Lonchura striata: one gene and its partners. The protein of the gene in region 1 interacts with the protein of each later gene in a pairwise test. Links are inferred from orthologs where the notes say so. Each region holds a gene or a part of one and is shown in the gene's direction. Other genes may lie near its edges. The genes, in order: SIAH1, UPP2, INHA and KHDRBS3.

Region 1 (7,044 bases):
GCTTAACTCTTTTATTACATTAGATTACCAAATATAAATAATTTTTATTTTGTTGCTTATATCAATTTATTTAATATATTACTACATTTTCTTTGTTCACGGTGGCATTTGATTAGTTGTTTTTAATATTGCTTAAATTTTCTGGAATTTCTTTGATATTTCCTGTAGCTTTTGCTTTCTGTCCTCCTTCCTTTCCTTCCAAGCTCAAAAAACAGAAGAGATAAACATCCTGTTTTGCTTTATGATTTGTAGGAGGGTCTGAATTTACAAGGAAATCTACTTTTAAATTTAATTCTATATGTAAGTTGGGAAAGCTGGCATATTCTCCACCTATAGAGTACAGAGTGAGTGGTCCAAACTCATGTTTTGGCTCTTGATCAGACACTTTTAGTTTTCCTTCTGAATGAAACTGGGGGATTTATCAGTTTTTTTGCAGAGCTTTGTTCCTCAGCTTGTCTTCCTTCCCAAGGCTGGAGTACCATAGCAGCATGGGATGCAGTATTCTGTGCAAAGGTGGATGTTGAAACTCTGTTGGACTGGAGAACAGGTTATTCACTTGTTGGAACTGATAAATTTCTTTGTTGCATTTAAAATTGAACACTTCAGTCAATAGTAGTTGGTTACTAGTGTGATTTGATTTTGATGTGCTTATTGTATGTCTTCTACAGGATACTGTTCCTTCCTAATCTTAACCTTATAAAGTTGTTGGAAAGAAAATCTTTAGCAGCTAGGGAAAAACCTCTCCTGGGCTGATGCTGAATATTCCAGCATATCTCCACAGAAGAAATAGTGAGTGATGGCGAGGAGGGAGAAATCAAACAGCCCTGACCAAAGTCTGGGTTTTGTGCTGAGTTAGAAATAGGTCACTCTGATTTGGTGGGTGGAACAATGCTGTTGGTGTTTCCATGGCTGTGTTTGTGTCTGCATCTGCCATGTGGGGTGTGGTGAACTTGGAGAAGGTCTGGACAGGGACTGCCATGGCTCCATTGGGGGCCGTGAGAGAACACGAGAGAACATCAGAAATGTGGGGTGTCAGGGGCTGGAGGCTCCCTGCAGTGCTGGCCACAAAGACAATTCCATGGTTATATAAATCTGTTGGGATTTCCCTTCGTGGTGGTTGGAAAATGGGGTTGGTAGGGAATGTCTTGAGGTGCAAGAAAAAAGCTGCCTGCAGTTTCAGGCAGAGTGGGTCACTACAAGGTAGCAGGAAATGGTCTAATTGTGTATGAAAAAGAGATGAATTGGACTGATGACATTTTGGCAAAGGAAATCATCAAGAGTCTTGACTCAGTTTTGTATATTTATTTTGGTCTTGTTTTATAATATTCTGTTACATTGGATTGATCTAGCTTTTGCTTGTTATGGAGGAAAAGAGAACCCTGAGGTGTCTTGAAATAACAAATAGCATAGTTAAGGGCACCAAAGAAAAGAGTGTCTGGAAGGATTGAAAAAAATCCTAATTCATTAGTCAAAACCAGAGTGGATAGAGATTAAATTGTATTATATAGTTGATTAATAATTTATGTCATGAACTGTGTTCTAAAAATTGTGAAGTAGGCCAGCAGATCCAGAGGCTGTGTCTGAGCAGAGGTGCACATGTCTGTCCAGGCCTGCATTTGATCCTAACCGTGCCAGGCCCTTGGGATCTAACATCTCCCAAGAGCTGATAGACTGCAAAAGGCAAAACCTTGCACCCTAACATATCTTTGAAATTAAATAAAAATACTAGTTTCTTAAAAAATATTGGCAAGCTTTTCTCTGATAGGTATTATGTTTAATGAGCATTTTCAGCCTTTCATTTAGATTTTGGGTCTTAACATTCTTTGGTTTGTGTCACATCTTGAAAAAAGTAACTTGTCAGTGTTTTTCACAACTTCATCCTGTTCTCTCTTAATAGTACTGTGTGTGAAAAAGTCTTATTCAAATATGATTACACTGTTTAAAAAGATGAAAGATTTTCTATTACTTTGTTGGTGGCTATAATGAATTAAGAGTGCATTTTAAATGGAAGTTCCTGAACTCGGTTTTTAAATGTTATAGAAAAATATATGTTGTTGCATCACATACAGACAATTGTGATAAATTTTTTGTGTTTATTACTCTTATATGGGACTTTTTCCCTTCCAACCATTAAGATGACTATAGAGAGCTTTTGTGTATTTTTTTTCCTCAAACTAATATTCAGTTACCCTTTCAAAAGCTAGCTAAAATGCTAAATTCAAGTCTAATCTATTTGATATGGGTGAGGATATGAAAGAAGATGTGCTTTTTGATATGAGAGAAGTGGATGATGCTAAGTTGAATTTGTCAGAGGTACCTTGTATTCCAGTGAAGCACAAATGTGATTTTTAGAATGGGTCTGGAGCTAACACCTTGGTAAGGTGAGAAGCTGGAAGAGTATCAGTCTATTTGCCATTAATAATGCCCAGGCACGTGAGGCACACAATCTTTTTCAATGTCTTCAAACTACTTTCTGTGTGCCTGCGCCCCAGCAGAGCTTTTTAACCAGTGGTTTGGTTGTGCCTTGCTTTTCGTACAGGATTTCGGTTCTGTGTCCGGGTCCCAAAGGCTTTGTCCCCGGGGCACTGCGCAGCCAGCAAAGCACACGGGCAGCAGCAGCTGTACCGTGGCCAGGGGCCGGAGGGTGGCTCTGGGGACCACACGGGGGGCAGCCTGGGACACGTTTCGCGCACCTCACAACGCGCTATTAGCTTCTCAAAAGCTGTTTTTATGCAGTTTTTATTCAGCTTCTCTGTTCTGCTTGTAAACTTCCTTGACTCTTACCTGGTGGGATGCTGTAGATTGCAGGTTTTCGGGCGAGACTGAAGGAAGCCTTGTATTGAGTGGGTAGATTGTTTTTATAGCAGTTGGGCATTATTTGCAGGTATTACAGTGCTGATACAAGTCTTCTTGAAAAGGACTTGGATTTGAAATAGGAGGAAAGCACTTTAAAGATAATTATCTTTACTCAGATTTCATAGCCTTGCTTTTTATGTGACAACAGTTTATCTCAGTGTGTTTTGTTCTGTTGCCTCCACTGCAACTTATACTTCCATGATCTTACCATCATTACATCAGCGTTCCATAATGTCTAAGCTTTTCTGAGCAAAGCATGTGCTTCACGCAAGTGTGTTGACTTGGCTTCTAACTTTATCCTTTTACCTGTTCTAATTTTTTTTAATACTCCAAGTAGATAATCAAATATGCCACATTGTTTTAGTTCTGTTGGTTATCTCTTCTCCTTGAGATTATGCTTTTGCTTCATTGAGCAATACTTATACAGATGGAGAAAATTCCTGTTGAATAGGAATTTATAGATCCACAGTGAAAAGTGCTCATCTGAGGAATATCCTTGAAATAGGAGGAAGTGATTTTCATGTGTTAGAAGAGTTTTGAACGGAAGCTGTAGCTTTTGCCGGGGAGTTATTTCGGGGGAAGCAGAGGGCTTTCTCCGTGCGCACGTGTGAGGCACGGCCGGGCCGCGGGCGGGCGGCCCTGGGGAGCCGTGGGGCGGGCGGGGCCGCTCCCGGGGCCGTGTGGGGCGGGGCCGTGTGGGGCGGGCCGGCTCCCGGGGCCGTGTGGGGCGGGGCCGTGTGGGGCGGGGCCGGCTCCCGGGGCCGTGTGGGGCGGGGCCGTGTGGGGCGGGGCCGGCTCCCGGGGCCGTGTGGGGCGGGGCCGTGTGGGGCGGGGCCGGCTCCCGGGGCCGTGTGGGGCGGGGCCGTGTGGGGCGGTCCGGCTCCCGGGGCCGTGCGGGGCGGGGCCGCGTGGGGCGGGCGGCTCCCGGGGCCGGCTCCCGGGGCCGCGGGCGGGGCCGAGGCGCGTCCTCCCCCGGAGGCGGTGGCGGGCGGGGCGGGGCGGGGCGGGGCCGTCCCGCGCCGGCCGCGCCGGGGGAAGCTCGGGGAACCATTTTGGGGCGCGGGGCCGGAGCGCGGCCGCGCACGGGGGCGGCGGCACCGGCCGGGGCGGCGGATCCGGGCGCGGCGCGGGGCCCCGCGGCCGTCGCGGGGGCGTTCGGCGCGGTCGCCGCCCGGCCCGCGGCCCCAGCCCGCCCGTGCTGCGCGGACACGCCATGAGCTCCTCCGCGCCCCATGACGGGCAGATCTGCCTCCAGCGGGCCGTACTCCTGGAAGGGCGTCTGGTCTGCGTGCTTGCCGGGGAGTAAAACCTGCAAGGGGAAAGGTAGCGCCCTTTAAATTGCCTTATGCGCAGTATTTGAAGCCGGGCTTGCAGGAGCTGTTAAATTGTGTTCCGCGGGAGGTGTCGGTAACCTGTGCATGTCGCCTTTCCCAGAACAGTGTCGAGAGTCCTTTTAGCAACAGGTGCCTTCTAGATGTTACCAAGAGCTGCTTTGCTTGATTTAGAGCTAGGAAATCTTAAGATGTGTTCTCCCCTTTTCACTCTTACTGTTGGGTAATTTTTCTTTTTTTTTTTAATATGCACAGTGTTTTTGGTAATTGGAGTTAAAGGAGCTAATACTCTTGAAAATGACACCTTACTGTTCCTTAGTTTGTCACTGTTGCTTAGAAACTTGTTCCTAATGTGTGCAAATAAAGATAATGAAATAGCAAATATTGCATATAAGTGTTTTTACCTGTAGTAAGGGGTTTGTAACTAAAAATGTCTTTAAACTTTATCTCCAGTTCTGTAGCTGTTTTTCCTTGGTTTGTAATTGTATGATTTTCATGGTTTGGTGGGTTAAATGTATTACACTGTTAAAACTTTTGCTTGTGATTAACTTGTAACTTTTGAGATAGCCATAAAAGATGTATTATTCATCTTTGTGTTAACAAGAGTGATGAAAATGTAGGCTTTGGGCAGGTTTAGGCTTGGTGAATTACAGTTTGTAGCCTTATGCAGTGTCTTTCCTGCATGCTGATCTCAGTGGGCTGGTTCAGAGATTGCTCCTTGTTCCCAGTTGCTGCTCCTTCCATTCCCTGTTCCTTTCCATTCCCTGCTCCTGTGAGTGTTGTGGAAGGTGTGTGAAGGCTGCTCACACAGGAGCAGTGGTAACATAGTTCTGTTCTCTTCCATACCTTAGAAAGCTCAAGTGGGAAGTGCATCCGTGCACAAGCTCTTTTGCAAAGTTTGTAGGTTGCTTCATTTAACTGTTGCATGGGCTCAGCGAGGTGTAATTAAAGACGGCAGAGCTCACCCAGCTTGTCAGGCTGCCCAGGGAACTGGTCTGACACAGTGGTTTTCACCTGCCTTATCTGCAGGTTATGGAGGATCCCTGGATCAGGATCTACAGGGTCAGGCAAGAGGAAGCACAGCACAGACTTTTCTGAAATGTGTGTGTTTGCAGTATTTGAAGGGAAACACTTCCAGAATTTTACATGTGAATATGTTGTTTCTAAGCTCCTCCCAAGCGAACAGGTGTGATCAGCATTGGTTCTCTTGTGCCCAGTGGTTTGTTCTGGAGCACAGACCTGCAGCTGCTGGGACATAGAGCAGTACAGCTGGCAGAGTCCCCTCCCTGGTGCAGCATCACTTCTCCAGGACACATGCTTGATTTGTCACAGACACCCTGAACTTCTCATCTAAGTTGGAATGCCTCACAGTGGGAAGATACAGCCAAAAGACACAAGCATTCTTGTCATAGCTCTACAGGATCAGTTATGGCCCAGCACTGAAAACTGCTGCATGGGTGTTTTTCTCAAGGTACTTCTAAACCACCAAGACTGAGATGGAGGAAGAGAATTTGGTGGGTTAGGAAGATGCTGTCAATGGGACACATGAGACTCATAAAATCAGTGTCTGAGAATCATATCTTAGACACTCATACTTTTCTAGCTCTGGGGAGAGGTACTTCTGTAGAGTAATTTGGACTTGTCTGTCTCTCGTTACTTTCTAAATGTCAAGGACTTAAGTCATTTTGCAAGTAGGAATCTCTTAGTTCTTCTGCTTGGTGTTTTTGAACAGTGCATGTCTTGCAAAAGCATGCACAGTATGTTGCTCTGAGCTGTCTGGTCCAAGTATGAGTAAGTTTGTGGTGAAATGATGCTAAATATGGGAAGCTTGCCTATTGCCTAATATTCCCATGTCAAATAGCAAGGAGATTAAAGATGAGGTTTATTTTGAGAGCTTTATACGTACGTGACAGATCCAGAGCTGGTTGTACTCGCAGAGAGGCACTTAGTGTGGCTGAGAATTGTACTCTATAACAGAAGCCAATTTTGGATAGCATTTTATTTAACTGCCCTTTACCTACAAAGGTATGGTTTATTTTTTCAGATAGCGCTAGTAATGTCTTTTGTACAAGAAGGAGGAGAGTTAGGAGTGCAGGAAAACACAATGTGTTACAAAATGTGGTCAGTACTTGTTCCACATCTGTGGAATGTTCGAGTAAGCTGTTAGGTCAGACAGCTGTCACCTTTGTCGGGGGACATTAGAGAGGACAGAACTTCAGTGGGAGCTCCACTGAATATAGAACTTCATCAAGAGGGACTGAAAATGTCTGAGTATTTACATGGTAAAATGAATACTCAAATTTAACAAGTGAAGTTCGAATTTTTAGTCTTAGTTGGGAAATTAAATAAAGTAATTGCTGTGGGTTTTTTTTTCTGGTATCGTCACAAATGGTTTTGTTAAGGAAGCTGAAGCAGTGGCTGTGCTTTACAAGCCATGGGCCTCAATAGTAGAGTAGTGAAAATGAAGAGTCACTGTCCTATCCTGCAAAAAAGCAGAGTAGTAATTGTCTGAGCTGTGTTTTTCAACTTCTTAAAAAATTACACTGTAAGTATGAGTACTGAGAAGGTCACATCCAGAAGATAGTTTTTTTCATTAAAGCCTTGTTTCTCTTACACGGCAGCTTAGAATTGTTCCATACACAGAGTTGGTACACACAAGTGATCTGGGTGTGAAGCATTTCATAAATGCAGTATTAAATTTTTAGCATGTTTTTACTCCCCTGTCTTGCAGCTTCCAGTAGCTAAATGCCTCTTCCGAACAATGAGCAGAAGTCCTTCACTTGTTAAGTTTCCATGTCACGGGAGTGTCTGTATCGATCTACACATAGCACATACGCAGTTTGTATTACATTGGGGG
Region 2 (7,805 bases), on another chromosome or scaffold:
TGTCTTGCATCATTTGCCTTATTGTGGCCAAAATCTCCTCCCAGACCTCCCTCCTGCCTGCACCCACAGGCACCAGCAGTTGCGACAGGCACCCACAAGCCCAAAGAGTAAAAGACAAAAGGAAAAAAAAACCTGTGTAAGAAAAATAAAAGAAGAAGGGAGAAAAAACCCCAGGCACCGTCTGGATTCAAAGCCTGGAGATCAGAAAAGCACTGGGCAGGAAGGGAGCAAGCAGAAAGGGGCTCCCTTGCAGGTTCCACTGCCGATTTGGAGTCTGCTCTGTCACAGCAAACTGGACATTTACACAAACCTCTGTGGGTACTCCCAGCAGGCAATAGCTCACCCATCCCTGTGGGGTGGGAAGAGTTGGAGCAGCTCACTCACCCCTGCAGTGGGAAGGGAACAAAAAGCAGCATGGAGGAAGGCAAGGGGGAACCTACCCCAGAGCGGATGAGAGGGCTCTGTTGCCAAACTGCCCCACTGCTCCTCTTCCTTCTCATCCTGACTGGAGGCACAAAAGGAGCACAGTCTTGGGAGAAGATGCCAGAAGCAACACTTCCTGCTGAAGTGTATCCATGTGGGGCCAGGTGGGCAGCAGCAATCCATGTAGAGCCAGTCAGAGCCAGGCCAGGACCCCTGCTCTTGCAGCAAGCCAGCACCAACCTCAGCCAGAAACTGGGTTTAAACCTAAGAAGAGCCCTTTACCAGGGGCCTGTGTGGGGCCAGCCTGGTGCTCCTTGAACCTGGACGGGCAGATGTGCGTAGCTGCCACCCTAGTGTCCTCACCTCCTGGGCAGCCCAGCAGGGCAGGGCGCCCAGAGCATGGGCACAGCCCCCCAGCTGTCCTGGGGCACGGCGGGCAAATCCCTGCCTGTTCCCAGGGTGGATCCCACCTGCCATGGGCAAGGCTGCAGAGGGAATGGCGGGAGAGTGCCCGTCCGCTCTAAGGAGCATTCCTGCAGCGGAGCAGCAGCACTCTCAGCCCCTCCTGTGGAGCGACACGGGACTGGAAGATCAGCAGCTCCTGAATAAATCCTGAATAGCAACACAGGTCAGGCAGCTGATTTCTGCCTGAAATAAATGGCTTTGCTGTAGTGCTTCCCCTCAGGGGAAACGTGTCCTGACAAGCTGCAGTTACTCTAGTGCCCCGAGGGTTTGTGCAGCCTGGTTCCTTTGGGGAGTGTTTTACTGTCTGGTCCCAATGCCAAGAGCAGCTTTATACCAATAATAAACAAGGCAAAACACGGAGCCAGAGCAAACAGCTGATAAAAATCCACGTTTTGCTTTCCTGGCTCCGCAGAACAAGCCGGGTACGGAGAGCAGGAAATCGTTGTGCTGCTGGCACATGGCTTTCCTCCTGTCAGGTAAAACACTTCCCGGTGCTTCTGCTGCTCCCTTATGCCGACTGCCAGCAATCATCGCTAGAGGAATGCACCAGCCATGCCTCGGACTGTGATATTCCTCATTCTCTGCTATCGAAGCAGAGCGATGGGGCCGAGCACAGGCTCACATGCCCTGCCGGGGCGGTGGCGGAGGAACTCACTCCTGCGACGGGCACCACCTGCCCCGCCTGCCCAGCCCGACCCGGCGGCCACAGACGGGGCTGGGCGCCAGGTTGCTGGAATATCTCATCATCGGCAGCTCCGGAGAGCTGCAGCAGCAGCAGCACGGTGGGAGGGAAGGCAGAGACCAGCCGAGTGGAGAAGGAGCTGTTGGGGCTCGCTGGGAGCAAGGCTGCAGAGCCCCGGCAGGGCGCGGCGGGTGCGAGCTCCCTGCCGCGCACAGGATGCCAGCGCTGTCTGCTCTAAAATAGCATTTAACATGACAAGAGGTGTCGGATGGGCGCGGGGAGCGCTGGCTCTCCCCATCTCTTCCCTTGCCGAGAGCCTGTCTACACTGCCATATGTTATTCTGCCGTATATTTCATCGTGCTTTATTTGTCATCCTCTAGCACATATGGTAACAGCTCCACTGCCTGGCACTTGGAGAGGCTGGATTTAGCTCTGAATCAGGCACAAATAAACACTCATTTGGGGCAGTGCTCTTTGCTTCTCACCATCCCCACGCTCCTTTGAGGAAGAGAAACAGGCAGGTAGCTGGGCTAGATCAGCACTGCAGCTCCCTTTCAACTGAAAGCATTTTATTTTAGCATTTCATCCTATCCTAGTCCATTATTCTATTCTATTCTATTCTATTCTATTCTATTCTATTCTATTCTATTCTATTCTATTCTATTCCATTCTGCAGCCTCTGCCATGAAAAGCAGGAGAGGTAGGAAAAGAACAGCCACACTTCAGTTTGGGATTTACTGAAAGCCATCCCAAAGAAGACCAAGCATGGGAAAAACAATCATGGACAAAGGAACCAAAGGTGAGGGACTGCTTATACTGGCCAGGCAGGGAGCTGACCTGAGCCAGACAGGCCCTGAAACCTGAATGGCCGTGGTGGTGGCTGCTGTCCCTTCTCTTCAACGTCACTTCTGGGAAGCCAAAAGCACAGTCCAACCATTTCCCTTGGTGCAATCATGTTTACTTAAACAGAACACACTGGTTCCTTTTACCTTGGGCACAGCAGGGACAAACACTGCAGAAACATTGCTTGCCCACCATTCTCAGCCTGACATTCCAGATAGAGCTGTGGCTCCAGGGGACTCTGTCCCTGCTCACTCAGCAGGGACACCCTCCAAAATCTTGCCACTTTTGCCAGCACAGGGGAGGTCCCTGCCTGGGACTGAGCACACCAGGGCAGAGGCTGTAGCAGGGCAGGGCAGGGGCTTTGCTGACCACCAGGCAGGGATGTCCCAGCAGGTTGTGCTGGAACACTATTTTTCATAAGAAAATATTTTAAAAGTTATCCATGTGCTTAGGAAAATTGTTTTATTGTGGGATGGTTTGAACCATGCAGGTGTGGACCCTTCCAGGTATGTCCAGAAATACTCTGCCATGGAAGGCAGGCAGAGAAAGGGGACACATGGAAGCACTGCCTTTACCACCCCAGGCAGCAGGTGGGAACACTCATGCCCTGCCACAGAGACACTCAGGTGTCCAGCTGTCTGTCCGTCTGTCCACTCATCCATCCACCATTCTGCTGAACCTTCGGTCCCCGATGAAAGCCCTGCCCAGCTGTGCTGGAGGTGGGTGCGGGGCCAGGGCCTCATGTTCCTCCACCAGACAAGACTGGAGAAGGAGGAGAATCCACAGGAAGCCTCAGCCCGATCCCACCTCCCCAGAGCATTTCCAGCCACCTCTGGCAAGCAGCAGCAAACCATTTGCTCTCTTCTCCAGATCAGGTAACTCTCACTGGACACAACTGGAAGCTCTGCATGGAGCCCACTGCACAATCCACTGTGCGCCTGAAACCACAGCAATCACACCAAGCGACTTCGGCAGGCAGAAGGTGTGTGCAGCCCCAAGGAAACTTCTTCTGTGCCCCTCACAGAAATCTGGTGCATTCTGAAAGGGAGAAAAGTCTCCAGATCCTTACTTTTTGGGAGTGCTGTAGAGCGTCAGTAATAAGTCATTTTTGGCAGGCATATGTGAACAGCATCCAGGGAGGGAGAACTTCATCAGAGCAGAGAAATCCTTCCAGCCTGCCTTTGGTATGACTCCAGAAAGCCAGAAATATCCCTGAGAGCTCTGCTCCTTCCCCTTCTCAGAGCTATCCTGACCCTATATTGGGCAAGGTACCAAATTTACATGTTCTCAGGCCACTGGCTTGCAGTGTTTGCTTATTTTTATACAGGGTTTTGCAATTTAGAGTGTTTGGATGGGTAGCAAAAAGGGCATTTGCTCAGGGAAAGGCTTCCTCAGTTACGATAATTTCTGTCCCTTCCCATTAGGAAAGCAGGACTGCGTCACTGCTTGAATGCAGGGTGCCAGTGAGCTCCACGCAATGTGCTTTCACCCAGTAATTAATTACCTATCACTTCCCTAATTATCAGAGCTTCCATTGACAATTCCCAGAGGTCAACAGCAAATGCCAGATTCTGCCCCTCCAGCAGCTGCCTGAAATATCTTCCAGGGCAGTGCCTCCTGTTGTTGGGACAGGAAGCAGGACCAGTATCTCCAATCTCCTCCTGCTCCTGCAGGAGCATCACACACTTGTCCTGCAGCCCCACAAGCACTCTGCCTGCCCTGGACTGGGAGCTGTGCAAAGCTGTGCCTGACACACTGCACACTGTTCTGATGGGCTCCTGGGCTGAGATGGGGCTGGGTGGACCATGAGAGCCAACAGCACTGTCTGGGCATTGCTGAGAGTGAAATCAGCCTCCCCAGGCCAGGCTGGTGGTCCAGGAGCTGTTCTGAGCAGGGCTGGAGGTTGGCTACAGCCCAAATTCCGGTTTTGTGCACCCCAGACAAATGCAGAGATGTTTTGGATTTGCACCTACTGGGGTCAGAGAACGGCTCAGCCAGAAGAACTGTCCATGCCAGCAGCCATGGCCAGGCTGTCCTTCAGTCCCTAGCGCTGAGGAAACACAGCCTGGGGGTAGCATAGCAACATCCAGCTCAGACAAACCATCTCCCCACATGTGCAGCCACGTGCCCAGAGCCCTCCCCACCAGCCAGAGGGCACAATGTCACCAGCCAGAGGGCCAGCAGGCCACTGGCCCTGGCCCTAAGGCTGCCAGTCAAGGTTACTGGTGACGCACCTGCCCAAAAAGGCAATCTGGGAGGAACCATGCCAGCCACTAAGGAATCTTGGCACACAGTAGTGGGACTGCCCACTGCTGACCTTGGGAGCTGCACAAAGCACAAGAGGTATTTAACCCCCTGCAGAGCCCCTTGAAACCTCTTCTGAGCTCTAAGCCTGGACAGCTGAGAATACAGGCAGTTTTCCTTACCTTTTTGGCAGGGTATCGCTTTCAGCTGACTCTGGCGGAGCCACTATGACCGAAACAACAGGTTACTCGAGGTGAGTAACAGGGGAACATCTGAATTTGTTTTAATAAGAGAAGAAAAAATGTTCTCTGGGTTTCTTTAAGCCCCATTTATAAAACTAACCTGCATTGTTAGTTATTTGCTTCCCTTAGAGCAGGTGGAAAGGGGCAGCAAGCTGGCCTCTGACTGCCTGCAGTGTCTGCACTCGCCATGCCAGGCAGTTATTTGGGACAAGTGTGAAATCCTGACTTGCCAAGAGCCTAATAAATTGTCACATAGAAAACAGCACAGTATATCACCCCTGGACATTGCTGGCAAAACCTTATAAAGGAAAGAGCTAAGGTAGCCATTGACAAAATTGATAAATACTGAGACATATTTTTTGCCAAATACATAGATATAATAACAGATGTGTCAAAGAGGTTACCTGGAGCAGAAAGACAGCTGGTCCAAACACCACACACAGCTGGCTTGTCCGTTGTCCCTGTTCCATCCCTTGTCCAATGCCAAGGCTGTGTGTACCCTTGTGGAGCTTCCAGGCTGCCCTGTGCCCCACTTCTGCCTGTCCACCTCCCTGCAGGTACTGCCTGGTGCCCCAACCCATATCCTCATCGTCTCCCTGCAGGACTGGGCTTGTCCTTGTTAGAAACCCACACCTGGACTTGATGGAGGAGGACGTCCTGTACCACCTGGACTTGGGAACGAAGACACACAACCTGCCAGCAATGTTTGGGGACATAAAGGTAAAGAGCAGGTCCAAAAGTGAGGCAGCAGCTCCCCCCTGCACAGACTCTCCAGCTGTGCATCCCACGGTGCTACCGGCCCATGCTGGGCCCTGCTGCTGCCAAAGCTCCCATGGGGTGGGGTCTGGCTGCTCAGCTAAGGGACTCCACAGCCAAAGCAGCCTGGGCAAGGAGGTTCTCTGTCCTTGTTTGTTTTGGGCAGAAATCACAACAGAAAATTATCCTTTTAAAAACCTGTAGCTCTGTAAAACCTGATTTAATATTGGCCCCATGTTGGAGGATAGACAGAGGAGGCATTTGTCCAAAGCATCTTGGTCATCATCTACTGGAGATAAGGGAAGGAGAATATCATATAATTTTTGGCTGAGACCTGCTGTCAAAACTGATTTGTCATGATGGCATCCTCTTTCATTCCAAACCAGAGTCTTTCCCTAGTTGTGCAGGGGAAGAGCCTCAGTGCCCAGGGCTGGAGCAGCCTTGCACAGCACAGCATGGTCTCCTGCTGCCCTGCACCCTGGCAGCAGGATCAGCACTGCCCTGGCAGTGCACACTTATTCTCCTCCTACCTTCAGCAAGCATATTTTCCTTTAATATGTAAAATTTGTCCTTTTTACTCCCTGACTTTATGGCCTCTGTGCCATCAGAAGTACTCACTAATTGCAGTCAGCATTGTTCATAGAATAAATTAACCAATGATCTCCTCCAACATCTGGGTTTACTTTGCTATCAGTGGCAATACTACCAGCTCAAATTTGCAGAATTATTTTAGATGGATTGATACCCAAGTTATGTGCAGCTGTATGGCTGCCCAAACTCAGGGCAGTCGCCACCCTGCCAGAGTGACAGGGTGGGTTTTGTGTTAACTCCTGGTTTTGTGAGCCTCAGGAGTTCCAATGTCCCTTGACTGATGGTGAGGAAGAGGCATCCTGCTCCTTTCTCTGGGAAGATGTGCCTGGCAGAGCCACCACCGCCACATCCAGGCTGACTCGCGTTTCTTGTTCTAGCTAAGTACCAACACGCTGATATTTTATTGCAGTTCGTCTGTGTTGGCGGCAGCCCCAACAGGATGAGGGCGTTTGCCCAGTTCATGCGGCGGGAGCTGGGGCTGGCGGGTGCCGGGGAGGACGTGGCTGACATCTGCGCGGGGTCGGACCGCTACGCCATGTACCGGGCAGGGCCCGTGCTCTCCATCAGCGTGAGTCCCGCGCCGGCTGGGGACATTTCTGGGGGACGCGCTCTCGGGGCCGTCTGGTGCTGCTCCTGGCAGGGTCCCACAGACGGACGGCGCAGGGACCGTCTGCTCCGGCACAGGCACGGGCTGGCACGACCTCTCCTTCACGTGCCCTCACCTCCCCCAGCACGCACCAGCAGAGCTTTTCCCTCTTTTCACTGTTCAGCCACTACCACCGGTGCAACCTTAGCCATGGCAAAGCTGCTCCTGTTTGAATAGCATCCCCCAGCACCTGCTCTCTCTGTTTGGAAATGGCTGCATTAATAACAGACGTGCACATGTTCTGCTCAGCTTGGTTTGGGAGGCAAAACCACTTCTCACCACACATGAACTATGAAATGCTGCTGGGAGTATTACCTTGATACAAGCTCTAAAAGAAAAGGCTGGCCTTATTATTAATTATTCTTTTAGAGCAGGATTTTTGGCACTGAACACAGGAAAAAGCAAATACAGGCTGTGCTGGGGAGCATTCACACCCAAAATCTTGGTCCTGACTCCATTTCTTCAGGCACAAGACTAGTCTGAAGTGTGATTCACAGCAGATGGAATCACTCACACAACAGAGCTCGTGTTTCGTCCCTCTGAAAAAACCAAACCAATCCTGACCAAGGGAATCAAGCCTGAGGAAATCAGTCTGAGAGGATCCAAGGGGAAGAACTGCCACAAGATTTGCTGTTCCCCGGCCTGGCAGCAGCAGTGACATGGCCAGAGGCAAACCATCACTGAGCTTGTGGCCGTGCACCAGCTTTGGCCAGTGCAGAAGGAGACACGGGGTAGAGCACATGGCCGCCCTGGGAAGCATCATGCAGAGCTGCTACCAATATCACATTTCTGCAAGTTGCTTAGAAACACAACTGAGCTCAAACATACAGGGCCAGGAACACAGATTCCAGCTCTGAATATTTGCAACGAGAATTAATTTTTTAGGCATCAGCAAATAAGCCAGGCTGATGT
Region 3 (6,927 bases), on another chromosome or scaffold:
GACAGACACTGCCTTGACAAGCACATATCCCAGAGCAGGGAGGACCAGGGCACAGCCTGGGGAGACACAGGGATGCCTCCAGTATCTCAGCAGGAGTTTTGGGGGATGCAGGGGCATGGAAGCCAGCATACTGCAGCAGGCATCTCAGTGGAGGGGAGCAGTGGGGTGTAGGCAGGGGCTGCACCAGTTCCTGGGTAACCCCAGCCATGGGCTGTCCCCAGCTGGCTGGATGGCTCGGGGGGGAATTGGGCAGCTGCCAGTGCAGACTGTTGGAGCCGTGCCCTGCAGGGCTGGCTGCCAGAATCACTCAGCACTTCCAGGGAAATTTGTCACCAAGGCACTGTCCCTCTTCCCTGTTTGTGGCTGGACACCTGCAGTCATCCGAGAAGCCACACCTCTGTTTGCAAGGAAAGCGAGACACGGAGCAGGACACAGCTCCTGAAGAAGCCCAGCATCCCCTGTTTCCAGCTCACAGCTCTGTCCTGAGGAGCCTGGGGTGACCCTGGCTGCACAGGGCAGGAAGGAGCCCCATGATGCTGGGCTCTCACACAGACACACCCCTGCCAGACAAACTTCCCTGAGCCCCCCAGAGCCTGGCCACCTCTGACACTTCTTGGACGTGTTCCTACCTTTCACCTGCAGCTGCACTGCACTGAGAGTCTGGCCAGCAGTGTTGGAAGCAGTGCACATGTATAGCCCCTGGTCCTGAGGTTTGCAGTACAGCACCTTGAGGATGAAGTAGCCCTCCCGGTCCTCGTAGATGAGATGCCTGCGGCCAGGGGCGAGAGGTTCACCATCTTTCTGCCAGATAATCTCTGGCTTGGGCTTGCCAGTAACATAACAGCGAAACTTGGCATGCTTCCCTGCGCTCACAGCAAATGCCTTGGCCCCTGGCACCCTGGCCGGCACGACGCCATTGGGCACCCAGGTCTCCGGTGCCATGCGCCGTCCCGCTGCGTGCCGCCGCCACCGCTGCCGCTCCGCCAGTACCTCGGGGCCGTGGGCAGGGGAGCCATTGGGGAGCCCATCCAACAGTGCCTGGGGTTCAACCAGGAGCACGGCGGCAGCCAGGGCCTCCTGGGAGCCGCTGCGTGCCCGGCAGACATACACACCCCCATCCTGGGGCCGGGCACCGAACAGCTTCAGGAAGTGCCAGTCCTCTGGTTTCTGCCCCACTGCAAAGTGGCTGCTCTCAAAGAGTTCGGAGAGCTTGTGCCCATCCTTCTCCCACTCCAGCACAGGGCAGGGCTGCCCAGACACCCTGCAGGTGAACATCACATCCTCCCCCCGGCACACCCGCATGGACGAGGGGGCAATGAGGAAGGCAGGTGCGACACTGCCTGAGCATCCCTCCCCCTCTCGCGGCTCTGCTGGCTCTACCCTGAGCACGGTGGCAGCGTAAGTCTCGCCAACACTATTCTTGGCCCTACAGACGTAGAGTCCGCTGTCCTCGGGGGTGGCACAGGACACCAGCAGGCTGTACAGGTCCCCTTTGGACTCCATATGGAAACGGCCCGAGGGCTCGATGGTATTCTTGTCCTTTTCCCAGAGGATGCTTGGCTGGGGATCACCCATGATCTGGCAGCTCAGGACTGCATTGGTGCCACTTTGGACCGTGAAGGCACGTGGATAGGCCAGGAACCTGGGGGCTCCCCCGAACCCCTCCATCACCAACTCCCCAGGCTCACGGCAGACAGCTGGCTGGAGCAGCAGCAGGGATCATCAGCCTGGGGGGATGTACAGACAGACTACAGTGGAGGCTCAGGCTCCATCGAAGAGATGGACCAGTGTGGAGCCCCCAGCTAGGAGGGACCCACAAAATCCCCATCATGGACCTCCTGAGCATCATTGTCATCCAGAGCAGCGCAGTCCCACTGGATTTGTCCCAGTGTCACCCAAACCATCCATTTCCCAGCCCAAGGCAATAGGAGACGTGACAAATTGTGGCTCTTTGCACCCCGGGGGCCTGAGACACTTGCACCCTTTCCCAGGGTTGCAGAGGGGACTCCAGTTCCAGCGGTGGGGGACCCCGGCCTAGACAGGGAGCATAGGCAGCTGCTTGCTGGGTGCTGGGGCTGGGGGACAGCGAAGGCAAAAGGGCCCCCGCCCGCCCCTTCCCCACCCGCCGGGCATTCACATTCCTGCAGTATCGGGTGGTGGCAGAGCCGCATTCCTGCAGCATCTGGGCCGGCTCAGCGGGCAGGTGCTGACACGGGGCTGTCACGGGCGCGAGGCCCCGGCTGGACCCGGGCTGGGACTTCCTCCCGGACTTGGGTGGGCAGGGGACCCCCTGTGCCGGGCGGCCACCCCACAGGGCAAAGTGCCCTGGGGCGAAGTGGGGCTCTGGGGAAGGGGTCCCCGTTCTAGAGAGTAGTCCCACAGGCGGGATCCAGCCCTTGTGCACTCAAAACCATAGCTGGAAATCATCAACCCCAGGGGAAAGCTGAAAGCCAGGGAGGTGGGTCCTGCTATGGAAGGGCACTGTCTCCATCCCCAGCTTTGTGGGTAACCGTGCCCACCACCAGGGCAGGAGCAGGGCAGGGTGCTGTGTGCCTCTCCCCGCTGAGTGCACCCACCCTCTGCCCACACCATGGCTGGGACTGGGGCAGGGTCGTCTCTGACTTGCTCAGGCAGGGGGAGGGGAAACAAAAATACTTCTTGAATGAGCCAGAGGGTAGGAGAGAGCTGGTCCCCAAGGAGCGACAGGGATTGTGGCCAGTTTCTCCTCCCACAGCCCTACCCCTGGGACAGTGAATCTATTCAGATTCATCTCTCCATCCACACGCCCCTGACCCCTGGGCCACCCCACAGCAGCTCCTTTGGACACAAACGGACAGCTCTGATGGCTCGGCTGCACCATTGCACCCTTCAACCACTCCCTTCCCCAACCACCCTCCCTGCCCCAGGCAGTCCCCCAGCCCAGACCCCTGCCCCACACATGTACCTCGTTCTGCCACCTCTCCCCTGTGTCTCTCAGTGTCGGCACCCAGCTCCTGCTTCTTCCCCCAGCTCCCCTTCTGGGTGTCAGTGCGCAGGGACCAAATGTTACAAATGCCTGCAGCTGCTGTCCCCAAAAATACCCTCTGATGACACGCGGGGTTGATAAGAGTGAGCCTGCTCCGTTCAGCGCCTCACCGAGGCTGGGCTGGCCTACCTATGTATAGCAGCCCAGCAGGAGCCACCCCAGAGAGCTGCAGGGGTGCTGCAGGCCCGGCTGTGCCTCTGCGCCGGCTCAGCCAGCAGCGAGAGACAACGTGCCCTGTGGAGAGCGTGGCATGGGGTGCAGGGTGCATGGTGTGCTGTACACTGAGCTGGACACCAGACTGCAGTGAGATAGGACGTGTCACACGGGACATGCTGCATGGGGGGATGTGTTGCATTGGATGCTGCATGAAATGCCAGGCTATATTGGATGGGATGGGCAGGACACTGAGCTGCCAGAGGCACAGAGGGGATGCACAGGCTGCCCACCATCCACAGCACATGCAGCGTTAGTGGATAGGCACTGTCCCCTCAGGCAGTGGTGAGAGGAAGGGGACTGGGTCTCCTTACAGCCAATGTCTCTCCTGCAACTCCCACCCTGTGAGCCAAGCCATGGCTAGACAGCCCAAACAGCACCCTAGGATCCTTCTCCTGGACCTGCTGCAGGGTCTCCAGCTGGCCCACCCCTCTCATTTGTTCTTCTCCCCTTGAAGGTCTCATCTGTTTTTCTCCCCTCTCCAGCCTTCTGCAGCCTCAGGTAGAGCAAGGACCTTTTGCCGTCCCTCTTGCTTCATGTCCCCAGGATCTTGCTAATCATGTCATGGAGATGTCATGGACTGTCATGGAGATGCCACAACCACCCTGTCCCTCAGCTTGCCCTTTCCAAGGCCCCATCCTCACATTTTTGGCTGCCCTGGCGACTGCCACCTGCAAAGCGCCTCCCCCATGCCAGAGCCTCACAGGCCTCTGATCCCCACCAGGTCCTTGCCCAGATTTCCCTGCCGTGCACAACTGCTGTCACTTCCCACTAGCTCCCCAGAAGCCCTAGACCTTCCACTCCTCCGCCATGGGAGGCACCTCGCATCAGCAGCTGCAAAGCTCACCCAGCACCCCCTCCATCCCTGCCAGCTTCGGCTGCCGGCACCACCCTGCCCGCAGCCCGGCCTCCCCAGCCCCACGCACGCACCGCTCCCGGCAGCAGCCCCCACACACACCCCCTGGCCGGGGGCCGGCCCCCCAGACCACACTGTCCTTGCAGTCCTTGCATTCCAGACGTCTCAGCGCTTTCACAGCTCAGAGATAATATTCACGGCGAGCAGACGTTTGCGTCAGTGTCAGCTAGATCTCAATGCCACCCTGTCCCGGGGGGAGCGCTGCGGGCAGACGGGCTGGGCAGGCAGGCAGAAGCCCGCGGCAGAGCCCCCCAGGCCAGCACCCCACCGTGTGCCCCACGGCCATGCTGCTGCTGCTGCACCTGCTGCCTGCCATGCTGCCCACCGCCGCCCTGGCCAGCTGCACCGGGACGGGTGCCGACCGGCAGCTCATCCTGGCCAAGGTGCGGGCTCGGGTGCTGGAACATCTGAGTCCCCCCCTTCTCCAGGAGGAGCCACAGATGGAAGCAAGGAGGGTACACCGGAGAGACGTTCTTGAAAACACTGAAGTGGAGCCGGAGGAGCTGGAGGACACCTCCCAGGTGATCTTATTCCCTGCCACAGGTGAGAACATCCTGATGAAAGGGTGAAGCAGGGTGGGGGTTGGAGTAATGCAGACGCTGAAGGATGGCGAGGCTGATGTGGTGGGAGAAGGGGAAGAAGGTATGCCAGGCTGGGACATGGGCATGAGTGAGATTTGGTGGAGAGCCAGATGGAAAGGTATGGCAGGCATGGACAAGCAGAACAGTTCAGGACAGACAGCAGAGGGACAGGCAGCACAAGAGGGTGCTGAGAGGCTAGGAAACAGCTGGCCAGGCAGGATGTGGAGACATGGAGAGGGATGAGGAGCAGGGTGGAATAGGGTGGGATGCTAGGGAATGGGGCAGGATACTGGAAGGTGGGTTGGGATGCTAAGGGACAGGGCAGGATGCTGAAGCATGCGGCAGGATGACCAGCAATAACAGCAGGAGATGGGGCAGAATGCTGGGGGATGGGATAGGATGCACATGCTGGGGAAAAGGGGGCAGGATGACCAACTATGGGACAGGACTGGGAGATGGGCCAGGATGCAGGGAGATGGTCAGGGTGCAGAGGTGGGGGAAAAGGACAGGATTACCAGCTATGAGGTGAATGCTGGGGGACAGGGCATGATGTGGTCTCTGGGGGAAAGGGGCAAGACAACCAGCTATGGGGGAGGATACTGGGGGACAGGGGTGACAGTAATGGACCAGCCTAGAGCATAGCAGAGATCAGTTGTGGGGCACAGCACAGAAGCTGCTGCACAGCACCGGCTCCTCTGCACCCAGCCACAGCCTATGCCAGCAGCCAGGAGCCCTGCCAGCATTCCAGGGACCTCTGCAACATCCCACTTGTGATTTGGCATTGGGGATTCTCCCCAGGTCTGGGTGCAGACCCTGATCATCTTTTCCCCCCCACAGACGTTCCCTGTGAGCCCACACAGCCAGACAAGCTGCTGGAGGAAGAAGGGATTTTCACCTACCTCTTCCAGCCCTCGGCACACACCCTGAGCCGTGTGGTGACTTCTGCCCAGCTCTGGTTTTACACGGGCCCCTCGGCTGCCCCCAACCACTCCTTCCCTGAGGTGCTGACCCTGTCCCCTCAGGGCCGGGTGCCGGTGACAGCCATGGCGGAGCGGACACCCGAGCACTGGACAGTGTTTCACTTGGCCCCAGTGCTGCTGCCCCAGCTCTGGCAGCCGCTCTTTGTGCTCCTGGTGCGCTGCCCTGGCTGCCCCTGCCTGCCTGAGGGGGACAAGATGCCCTTCCTGGTGGCCACCACCCGGGCCAAGGGCAGCGAGAGGGCTCGTCGCTCTGCCATGCCCTGGTCCCCGGCCGCCCTGAGCCTGCTGCAGCGTCCATCTGAGGAGCTGGCTGCCCACACCAACTGTCGCCGGGCTTCCCTCAACATCTCCTTCGAGGAGCTGGGCTGGGACAAGTGGATCGTGCATCCCAGCAGCTTTGTTTTCCACTACTGCCACGGGAGCTGCGCTGCAGGCCACGGGCTGAGCCACCGGCTGGGCGTGCAGCTCTGCTGCGCTGCCCTGCCCGGCACCATGCGCTCCCTGCGCGTCCGCACCACCTCCGACGGCGGGTACTCCTTCAAGTATGAGACGGTGCCCAACATCCTGGCCCAGGACTGCACCTGTGTCTAGGGCGTCCTGCAGCCCAGCCCGGACCATGATCCCACGCAGGAGGAGTTGCTTTCCCAGTGGAACCCTGGCCGCTGGGATGGGGGAGTTTGGCTGTACCACCCTCCCTCGCACAAGCCAGACTTTTGGGCTGGCCCTGGTACCATCACAGAGCAAATCAGGGCATGGCGGGGCATGGATAGGCACAACCTACGGCAAAGGCATCACTGTCCTGTCAAAGCCAGGCTGCTGCCTGCAACCAGATTAGCCCTCATCTCTCTTCACCTGCTTCCCTGCTGCAGTTCTGCACCCCCACAAAGATTGGTGTCTTCCTCCTGCTGCAGAGTTCAACAGCTTCCCCTGTGCTCCAGGCAGGGCCAGGCTGTTGCAGCAGGATCAGGATGTGCCTGGGTGAGCCCATGCCAGGACCTCACACTGGTGGCAGGGCTGGCAGCACACGTGGCACCACAAGTGAGCCCTCTCCCAGCAGCATGGCTTGTTGGAAAGCTAAATGGGATGAGTGAAATAAACTTGTTCCCTTTTCTAAAGCAGCCTGGAAATGTCTGCTTCTATCTAGATGGAGAAATGAGGGGATGGGCAAATACTGTTAGAGGCATCCAGCTCCGATTTGGGGTACCAGAGAAG
Region 4 (7,447 bases), on another chromosome or scaffold:
TGCATACTTGAATATAATGACAAAGGTAGTGAAGTCACTGCAATGTATTGACTCAATTACTGCACTAGGAATCAGAGAGAGTGTTCTGATACAGTGTGTTAGCCTTTAAGAACTAGAAAGAAAGTAAAGTAGAATGATAGAATTTATCTGCTGTAGATGATGTAATGGTTTTGCACTATAGGTCATATACAGTCTGTGTACTGTGTTCTACCTTAACTTGGCTGATTACATTGATTAGGTCCAATAAAGCCTAAAGTTTGAACTATGAGGCAAAAGGTATAAAAGAGAAAGAGGTGAATTTTTACAGAAAATCTTTTGAAAACAATTTGCCATGGATGTTTTGATATGACAGTACACTCTTATTTATTTTATCATATTTTAAAACACATGCAAGTTAAAAAAAAAAAAAAAAAAAAAAGAAAAAAACCCACAGGAATATTGGAGAAGTGTGATACTTTCATCACGCCTAATAGAAATTGGCAAGTAACACACTGCAATATTAAGGAAGCCAGAACCCACTTAGCAACATGCTAGTTAGAATTGTGGTGAGTCACATCTATCACTAAATGTGGTATTTGTGACAAATCATTTCTCCAAACAGATCCTGCTTCTATAGGTCTTCAATGAGTTGAAGTCTCAAATAAATAATGATTCTGTAACAGTCTGTTGTGGTCTGAGATTTAAATGAGGAACCCAGGAGTTAATCAGAATCAAGGACTATATTAGAGGCATGTAAATTCTACCACAGAATTGGAAATAATCCCAGCAGGGTGACAGCCTGTGGGTGCAGTGCCTTCAGTATCTGAGTGAGGGTGCTGCAACAGGCTCCACTTGATTAGGTGTTTTTGCCTAAATTACTGCCCCCTCTGTTTTTTCTCCTGTGACAAGTGTTCCATCTATTCAATGATCACACCAAGCTGCCACTGACCGTGGTGTGCTCATATTCCACAAGCCAAGCAGCACAGTGAGAGAGGTGATTCTGCTCCTTGCTCTGCTCTCATGAGACCCCACCTGCAGTGCTGCATCCAGCTCTGGGGTCCGCAGGACAGCAAGGATAGGCATCTATGGCAGCAGGTCCAGAGGAGGCCACAAAGATGGTCAGAGGTCTGGAACACCTTCCCTGTAAAGATGGGCTGAGTTGGGACAGTTCAGCCTGCAGAGGAGATGGCTCTGGGGAAACCTTATAGCATTTTGGTACTTAAAGGGGGCTTATAGGAAAGATTGGAACAAACATTTTAGCAGGAGCTGCTGTGGTAGGACAAGGGACAATGATTTTTTTAAGTAGAAGGTAGACTCAGACCATATATAAAGAAATTCTTTACAATGAGTGTGGTGAAACACTAGACCAGGCTGCCCAGAGAGGTCACAGATGCCCCATCCCTGAAAACATTCAAGGTCAGTTTTGATGGGGCTCCGAGCAACCTGATCTAGTTGAAGATGTCCCTACGCATTGCAGGAGCAGAGTTGGACTAGATGACCTTTCCAACCCAAAGCATTCAAGGACTCCATGGAAAAGACAAATATTTAGTTGTACTTGCTTTCCAAACCAAAGCATTCAATGATTCCATGGAAGACAAATATTTAGTTGTACTTGCAATATTTGGAACAAAGACATAATAGTGAAATTACTGCTTGTAATCACTGCTTGTTATATTGATCCAACAAATAAAGAAAATTTAAGTGGATTAATTTGTACACAATACATATTTTAGAGAGAGAACACAGCTCAGTTTCTGCCTCTTTACACATGGTCCCCTCACATCCTGTTAGTACAAGAGGTGAATCTCATTCCTGAGAGTGAAGTTACCAACACATCCTAATGCTTCTAGCATATATGAGTATTAATTTTGGCACTTACAATTTTAACTTATAGATAGAGAGACACACTGTCAGGTAACTGGTGCTTAAAAAGGAGCAATGGATTAGTCTGACATGGTTACTGACTGATGTGCACCTATCAAACTAACTTTCTGAGATTACCACATGCATTAAACAGCAAAGTAGATGTGTACTGTTAGAGAGAAAATACATTTAAGTCATGAGTTTTAAAAGTTTGGACTCCTGGCTTTTCAATATTCATGAATCCTACAGCTAATACTTAGCAGGCAGCTCCTTGAGCAAGGCTGCTTTTCAAGCTCTGCATAGATTTCAGCAATAAGAAAGCAATCAATCCTTAAGATGATGGTGTTTCCTGCATTTCCTGGATAGTAAAAGTGATGCTTAGCAGGCTTTTCCCAGCTAACCACATCCTGGGCTGCTTTCTAGGGCCCAAGGCTCGTAATTTCCCATCCTTTCTGCCCTTGTCTTATTTTATTGCGCCCTAGAAAATTTCACTGAAAAAAACCAATGTCCTGCATTTGTTATGTACAGGTTTGAGTTTGAACAATAGGCTACAACATGGATAATTTTATAATTCCTATATTATTACAGACCTGGAGAAAACCAAGTCTTCAAACTTCCAGTAAGTCTTTCTTTGTAGAAAGCCAGAGGGAATTGGTATAATATGGAAAGAAATACTGTGGTTTCTTGAAACATCAAATGTTTATTTAATCAGTTACCAGGGAGAAGGCGACTCCTTCCAAGAAAGGTGCATTGTGTTTTACACAAATTGTAATAACATAACTACCTTTCTGTCTGAGGTCCTGCATGCTTTAGTATGACTTTAAGTACATTTAGGCTTAAGTGGCAAAAAAAGAGATTTTTTTGCTCCAGGTCACTCAATAAAGATTACACTCCTACATATTGTTTTGTGTCAAGAGTTGTATATGCCTTCCTGTTTCACAACAGATGGTTGCATTTCAGTACTTTTATATAGAAGACGTATATGGAAGGTTGAAAAAAACATTCATTTTAATTCAAATTCTTCCAGCTGCTTGAATGCTTTAGTTTTATTTATTGAGCTTGATGTCATGCAAAAGAATTTTTAAATAGAACTTTGCAAATATGCTTCTGTTCATTTTGGATCAAGATTTATTTGAAATGGTTTTACAGAGAGTATAAATCAACTATGTTTCATGTTGCAACATACCAGACATTGTTTCATGGGGTATTGAAATCTGTGAAATCCAACAAGGAATAAGATACCTTAAAATATAGTCTTTTGGTTTTCAGGGTGAAAGAGCACTTGCAGTTCTGAGAAGGGAGCCTTAACCTCTGCTTCTGAGCTTTGAGTGAGCATTTCTCATGCTGGTTTATCTTTTCAGAGCTTTCTTCCTCCCTGTATTGCAAGACTATGAGTAAGATATATTGCAGATTTTTCTTTTATTTTTTTATTAAATACAGAAGTAAATGTATGGTTATTCAATTCACAGATATGAGTACTTTTAGTGGTCTTTTAAGTTTAGATCATCAAAGTTCCTTATTGGCTTATCCAGTAAACATTGATTTAAAATGTTACTTTATGGGTTTGGCTTCTTTCCTCTGCTTTGCCCTTGTGCTCTGTGACAGAGAAGAGCTGGTCTGGCTTCCTCCGGGCTTTTGTCACCAAGATTCATTGACGAGACACCTAAGGACTAATAAGGAGGCGATGTAAAGCCTCAAAGCTAAAGAACAGAGCGAATCATGACCTTCTATAACAAATGCATCCTCTGAAAAAAACAGGAAAATGGGCTTGAGCAAGGTCTTTTAAACTTTGCTTCTCTTTCCTCTTTTAGAACAGGGTGAATCTCAAACCCATTTACAGCCACAGATCTGGGAAACTCATCAGAATTAGGGTTTTTTGACTGGTATTTATAAAGTGGTTTGTATAGAGACAGTCTATGTTTTTGCTAGAGGCAAAAGCATAGAATGCTGGATAGAGGAGACCGCTGTTTGTGAAAGGGAAAAATAAAATCACGTTTGCGCTACTTTCAACACAAGGTCTGCCTTCCCCCGTAAGATCTGACGGGGACGGAAAGGACGCCGCCCTGGATCCCCGACCCTTCTCACAGATCCTACGGCCCCGGAGAGGGCCCCGAAGGCGACTCTTGCGTCGGAAGGGTCGCTGTGGGATCTCAGGGGCTCTGAGTCCCGCTGCTCCAGGTACGGGTACAAAAGCCACTCCGCCCAGCTCCCGCCCGGCTCCCGGCGCGGAGCCGCTCTGAGCGCGTCCCTCAGCGCCGGCCTCTCACCGACCGCGGGGAGGCGGGGCCAGCAGCAGCGACCAATGAGCAGCAGCGCCTCGGCCCTGACTGACAGGCCCTGCCATCCAATAGGAGCCTTCACTTGAGCGAGGCGGTGACACTTGGGGGGCTCTGCTATCCCCGCCCATTGGCAGGCGCTGGGGCGGGGCACCGCCCCTGGGCGGGGCTAAGGCGGCCGGGGGCGTGGTCTGGGGCGGTATATAAACCTGGTGCGGCGCGCTTTCCGCTCTCAGTGGGCTCGGCGTCGCCGGCGGTGTTGTTTGTCTTGTGGGTGTGTGCGCAGCCCCAGCCGCCGCCTAACAGTCTCTTTTATTGCGCGCGCGGCCCCCGTCTTGCCTGGGTCAGCGGCTCCCGGGGCGCGTCTCTTCCCGTTTTATCTCCTTGTGCGCTTCCGCAGTGATTTGTCCGCGCCCCTTGCCCGCTGAGGGGGGGCGCCCCCAGCCCGCGCCGCTTTTCTCCCCGCTCCTGGCCGGGGGCTTGCGGCGCTTCCTTCTGGATGCGTCCCCGCAGCCCCGGGCGGGAGGCGGCCAGGGGGAAGCGCTGCCTCCGAGGATTTACCGCTGCCTGGGACTCGGACCCGCTCCTTCCCCGCGGGCGCACCCGGCGCCCCGGCTCCGCTGCCGCTCCGGGCCGCTGCCATGGACGAGAAGTACCTGCCCGAGCTGATGGCGGAGAAGGACTCGCTGGACCCGTCCTTCACCCACGCCTTGCGGCTGGTCAACCAAGGTGAGGGGCGCCGGAGCGGGGCGCCTTTCTCGCGGCGGGGACGGGCCGGGGTGAGCGGCGGTGCTCAGCCGGGGCTCGCCCTTCCTTATTGCGGCGCTCGGAGCGGTTTGTTGTGCCCGGGCTCCCGGGGACGTTCTCGGTGCGGGGTTCACCCGTGCCTTGCACCGCTTGGGGGGGTTTGTTGCGTTCAGGCTGCCGCTGTTTGCCGGCTCCCGGCGCCTTCCCCTTCCCCTGCCGGGCAGCCGCGCACGCCGGGTGCCTGCCCGCGCTGCCCCTCTTCCATCCGCGCTTCCTCTGCCGTCGCTCGCTGCTCGAGTTAGAGATTATTCCGAGCTGAATGGCCGTGTCCGCTGTGCTCTGCTCGGGCTGCATGTCAATTAAAACCCCGGACGGTTTTCCTATTTTACCCTGCTTGTGAACAATGAGCAGCCGATTGTTTACATATGTGTGAGCTTTCTTAAGAACGAGCCCACTACCGATGGCCTTTCCTAGAAACTTTGGGCTCTGTGGCTAAGATATTACGGAACCAACAATCCATGTTAGTAAACCTTTATAAAAATACAAGGCATATTTTGTTTTGCAATTATATAACTCCAGATAATAAATTACTCCCACCCCTTCTGCATCTGTCAAGTCAGATGTGCTTTAAAGTGCTTCCTTTTTGTTTCAGTGATGCAGTACTGACTAGAAGAGTCATTCTGTGTGAATTAAACTATGATTTAATGTACATTTAGAGATAGTATATAATTGGCAGGTGACTTTCAAGTACAGCTCTGGAGAGACAAATGCTTGATCTAGTGCTTAGGATGCACAAGTGAAATAAGCTATGAAGTGATCCTCTAACACATTGGAAGCCGAAATGATTTTTGGCTTCAATTGCAATGATTACAAAGCCGTGCTTGGTGTACTTTACATCCTATAACAGGAGCAAGTTTAAGTTGATGTGGGTTCCTCTAACGTGTTGTAGATTATGATGTGTTATAAGTGCAAATGCCTGTCTCAGATTCATAAGGAGAATTACTGTTCTCTGAAATACTCTGGAGTTAGGGGTAGCTGTTACAGTTTTAACTGTGGAATGCATGTGCTAAGTGAATTGAAGGTCCATGTCCATGGGTGGTTGGTATTTTGCATTTTTTTCTAAACTCCCTGTTGATTGTGGGAAAAGGAGAATTATGTTAAAAAAAACAGTTATTTGCTGTAAATTAAAAAAAACTTGTAAAAATTATGCTTGATGGCTACAAATTATTAAAGTTCCTCTCCAGCTAGTGAAGAATCTTTTTGCATGTGTAAATTATTCCAGGGAGTTACAGAACCATGTGATTTACTGTTTTGTAAACAGTGTTAAAGAAAGTAAATCTGTCCTTTTGACTGAGTTTATGATATTTTTTTAGTTTCTCATTGAAATGATAAAGTGGAGGACTGAAACTTTTGCCTTTCATCATGGTATCTGCATGCATACATTCAGCTCCAGGAAAAAAAAAAACCTTATATTGTTAGTGTAAAAATGTAGATGTATGAGCATCCAACCTTGTAATCTAGTAGGTGTCTTGATTTTTCTTTTGTTTAATTTGAAAGTGAAGTCTTGGATTATATCTGAAGTGTTTCACATGTTAGAGGTGAGGAAAAGAAAGATTGAGGGTGACTAATCAACTGGTTAACTCCAGTTTAAAATGGAAATTTGTATAATATCTATGTAAAATAGTTTAATTGTAGAATTGCCAAAGAGCCTGATCAAATGAAGTGCCTGTATAATACAGGTGGAAAATATGATATCAGGAGGGGATGTTTTACAAACCCATCCTGCCATGGCATTGACTTTATCAGGGACTGTTTTTTTCTCAATGATAATAATTCTATGCACTTAAATGAATGGCAATTATTAGTGGAAATGTGTATGTAATGGTTGTGGCTCGGCTTTTGTGTGCCAGGTCCATTGAATATTTTCTATGTTAGTTCATGTGGAGGCAAATGAAAGAGCTTATCTAATTTTTTTATAGATGGATTTGTTTATCTTTTAAGTTTAGAATGAAGCAGGGTTCCAAGCTTGGTTTCTTTTGGGTATCAGAGAATGTCTTAGCAAAGGTTTTAAGTGCTTTAAATAACCAGCTTAATTATGTAATAGCATTTTGGTGTCTTAGTGGCATTAAATTTGCTATCTGTATTTATTTAAACTGAAATACTGTACATCAGCTGGCGTTCTTCAGAAACTCAGGAGTAATTTGTAAGAGTTGTATGGATGAAGTAGAATACTTTTGAGATGGTGAAGTAATTCAGATATGTTTACTGCTTAGACAGAGGAGCCAAATTGCTAACAAATTTCCAGTCGTGTTAAAGTTTGGTTTCTAGGGAAAATCCTGGATCTAGACTTCTAAAATGTGGTAATTATAGTTTTCAAATGGAAGTGGATGAATTTGCATATTATGCTTGTAATTACACATTTTAATTTGTATACACACAAATTACATAATTTTAAATATAAAAAGTGGAGCTTGACCTGCTTCAAGTTCCTGGCTAACATTTCAGTTAAAAAAGAATAATGTGGAAATAACTAAGATGCTGTAAGAATATTTTCATGGGCAGTATTATTAATCTGTCTTTCT

Evidence for each region.
Region 2: the proteins of SIAH1 (region 1) and UPP2 interact in binary tests that used the Homo sapiens proteins (3 or more experiments, as listed by UniProt). The two-hybrid records come from large-scale screens. The link is inferred for Lonchura striata from reciprocal best matches to the Homo sapiens genes SIAH1 and UPP2.
Region 3: the proteins of SIAH1 (region 1) and INHA interact in binary tests that used the Homo sapiens proteins (3 or more experiments, as listed by UniProt). The two-hybrid records come from large-scale screens. The link is inferred for Lonchura striata from reciprocal best matches to the Homo sapiens genes SIAH1 and INHA.
Region 4: the proteins of SIAH1 (region 1) and KHDRBS3 interact in a two-hybrid assay, tested with the Homo sapiens proteins (3 studies listed by BioGRID and IntAct). The link is inferred for Lonchura striata from reciprocal best matches to the Homo sapiens genes SIAH1 and KHDRBS3.

The regions. Positions count from the first base shown.
Region 1 is NC_134615.1:10,448,277-10,455,320, reverse strand, and holds the start of SIAH1 (E3 ubiquitin-protein ligase SIAH1), read left to right. Parts: upstream 1-4,035; 5' UTR 4,036-4,088; coding exon 4,089-4,179; intron 4,180-7,044. UniProt on the Homo sapiens protein: E3 ubiquitin-protein ligase that mediates ubiquitination and subsequent proteasomal degradation of target proteins.
Region 2 is NC_134610.1:678,996-686,800, reverse strand, and holds the start of UPP2 (uridine phosphorylase 2), read left to right. Parts: upstream 1-4,781; 5' UTR 4,782-4,885; coding exon 4,886-4,911; intron 4,912-5,457; coding exon 5,458-5,620; intron 5,621-6,656; coding exon 6,657-6,815; intron 6,816-7,805. UniProt on the Homo sapiens protein: Catalyzes the reversible phosphorylytic cleavage of uridine to uracil and ribose-1-phosphate which can then be utilized as carbon and energy sources or in the rescue of pyrimidine bases for nucleotide synthesis.
Region 3 is NC_134610.1:16,236,111-16,243,037, forward strand, and holds INHA (inhibin alpha chain), read left to right. Parts: upstream 1-4,193; 5' UTR 4,194-4,330; coding exon 4,331-4,697; intron 4,698-5,572; coding exon 5,573-6,306; downstream 6,307-6,927. Other genes in the region: OBSL1 (obscurin-like protein 1), read right to left, coding at 630-1,668. UniProt on the Homo sapiens protein: Inhibins and activins inhibit and activate, respectively, the secretion of follitropin by the pituitary gland.
Region 4 is NC_134603.1:7,546,200-7,553,646, reverse strand, and holds the start of KHDRBS3 (KH domain-containing, RNA-binding, signal transduction-associated protein 3), read left to right. Parts: upstream 1-4,351; 5' UTR 4,352-4,759; coding exon 4,760-4,847; intron 4,848-7,447. UniProt on the Homo sapiens protein: RNA-binding protein that plays a role in the regulation of alternative splicing and influences mRNA splice site selection and exon inclusion. Binds preferentially to the 5'-[AU]UAAA-3' motif in vitro.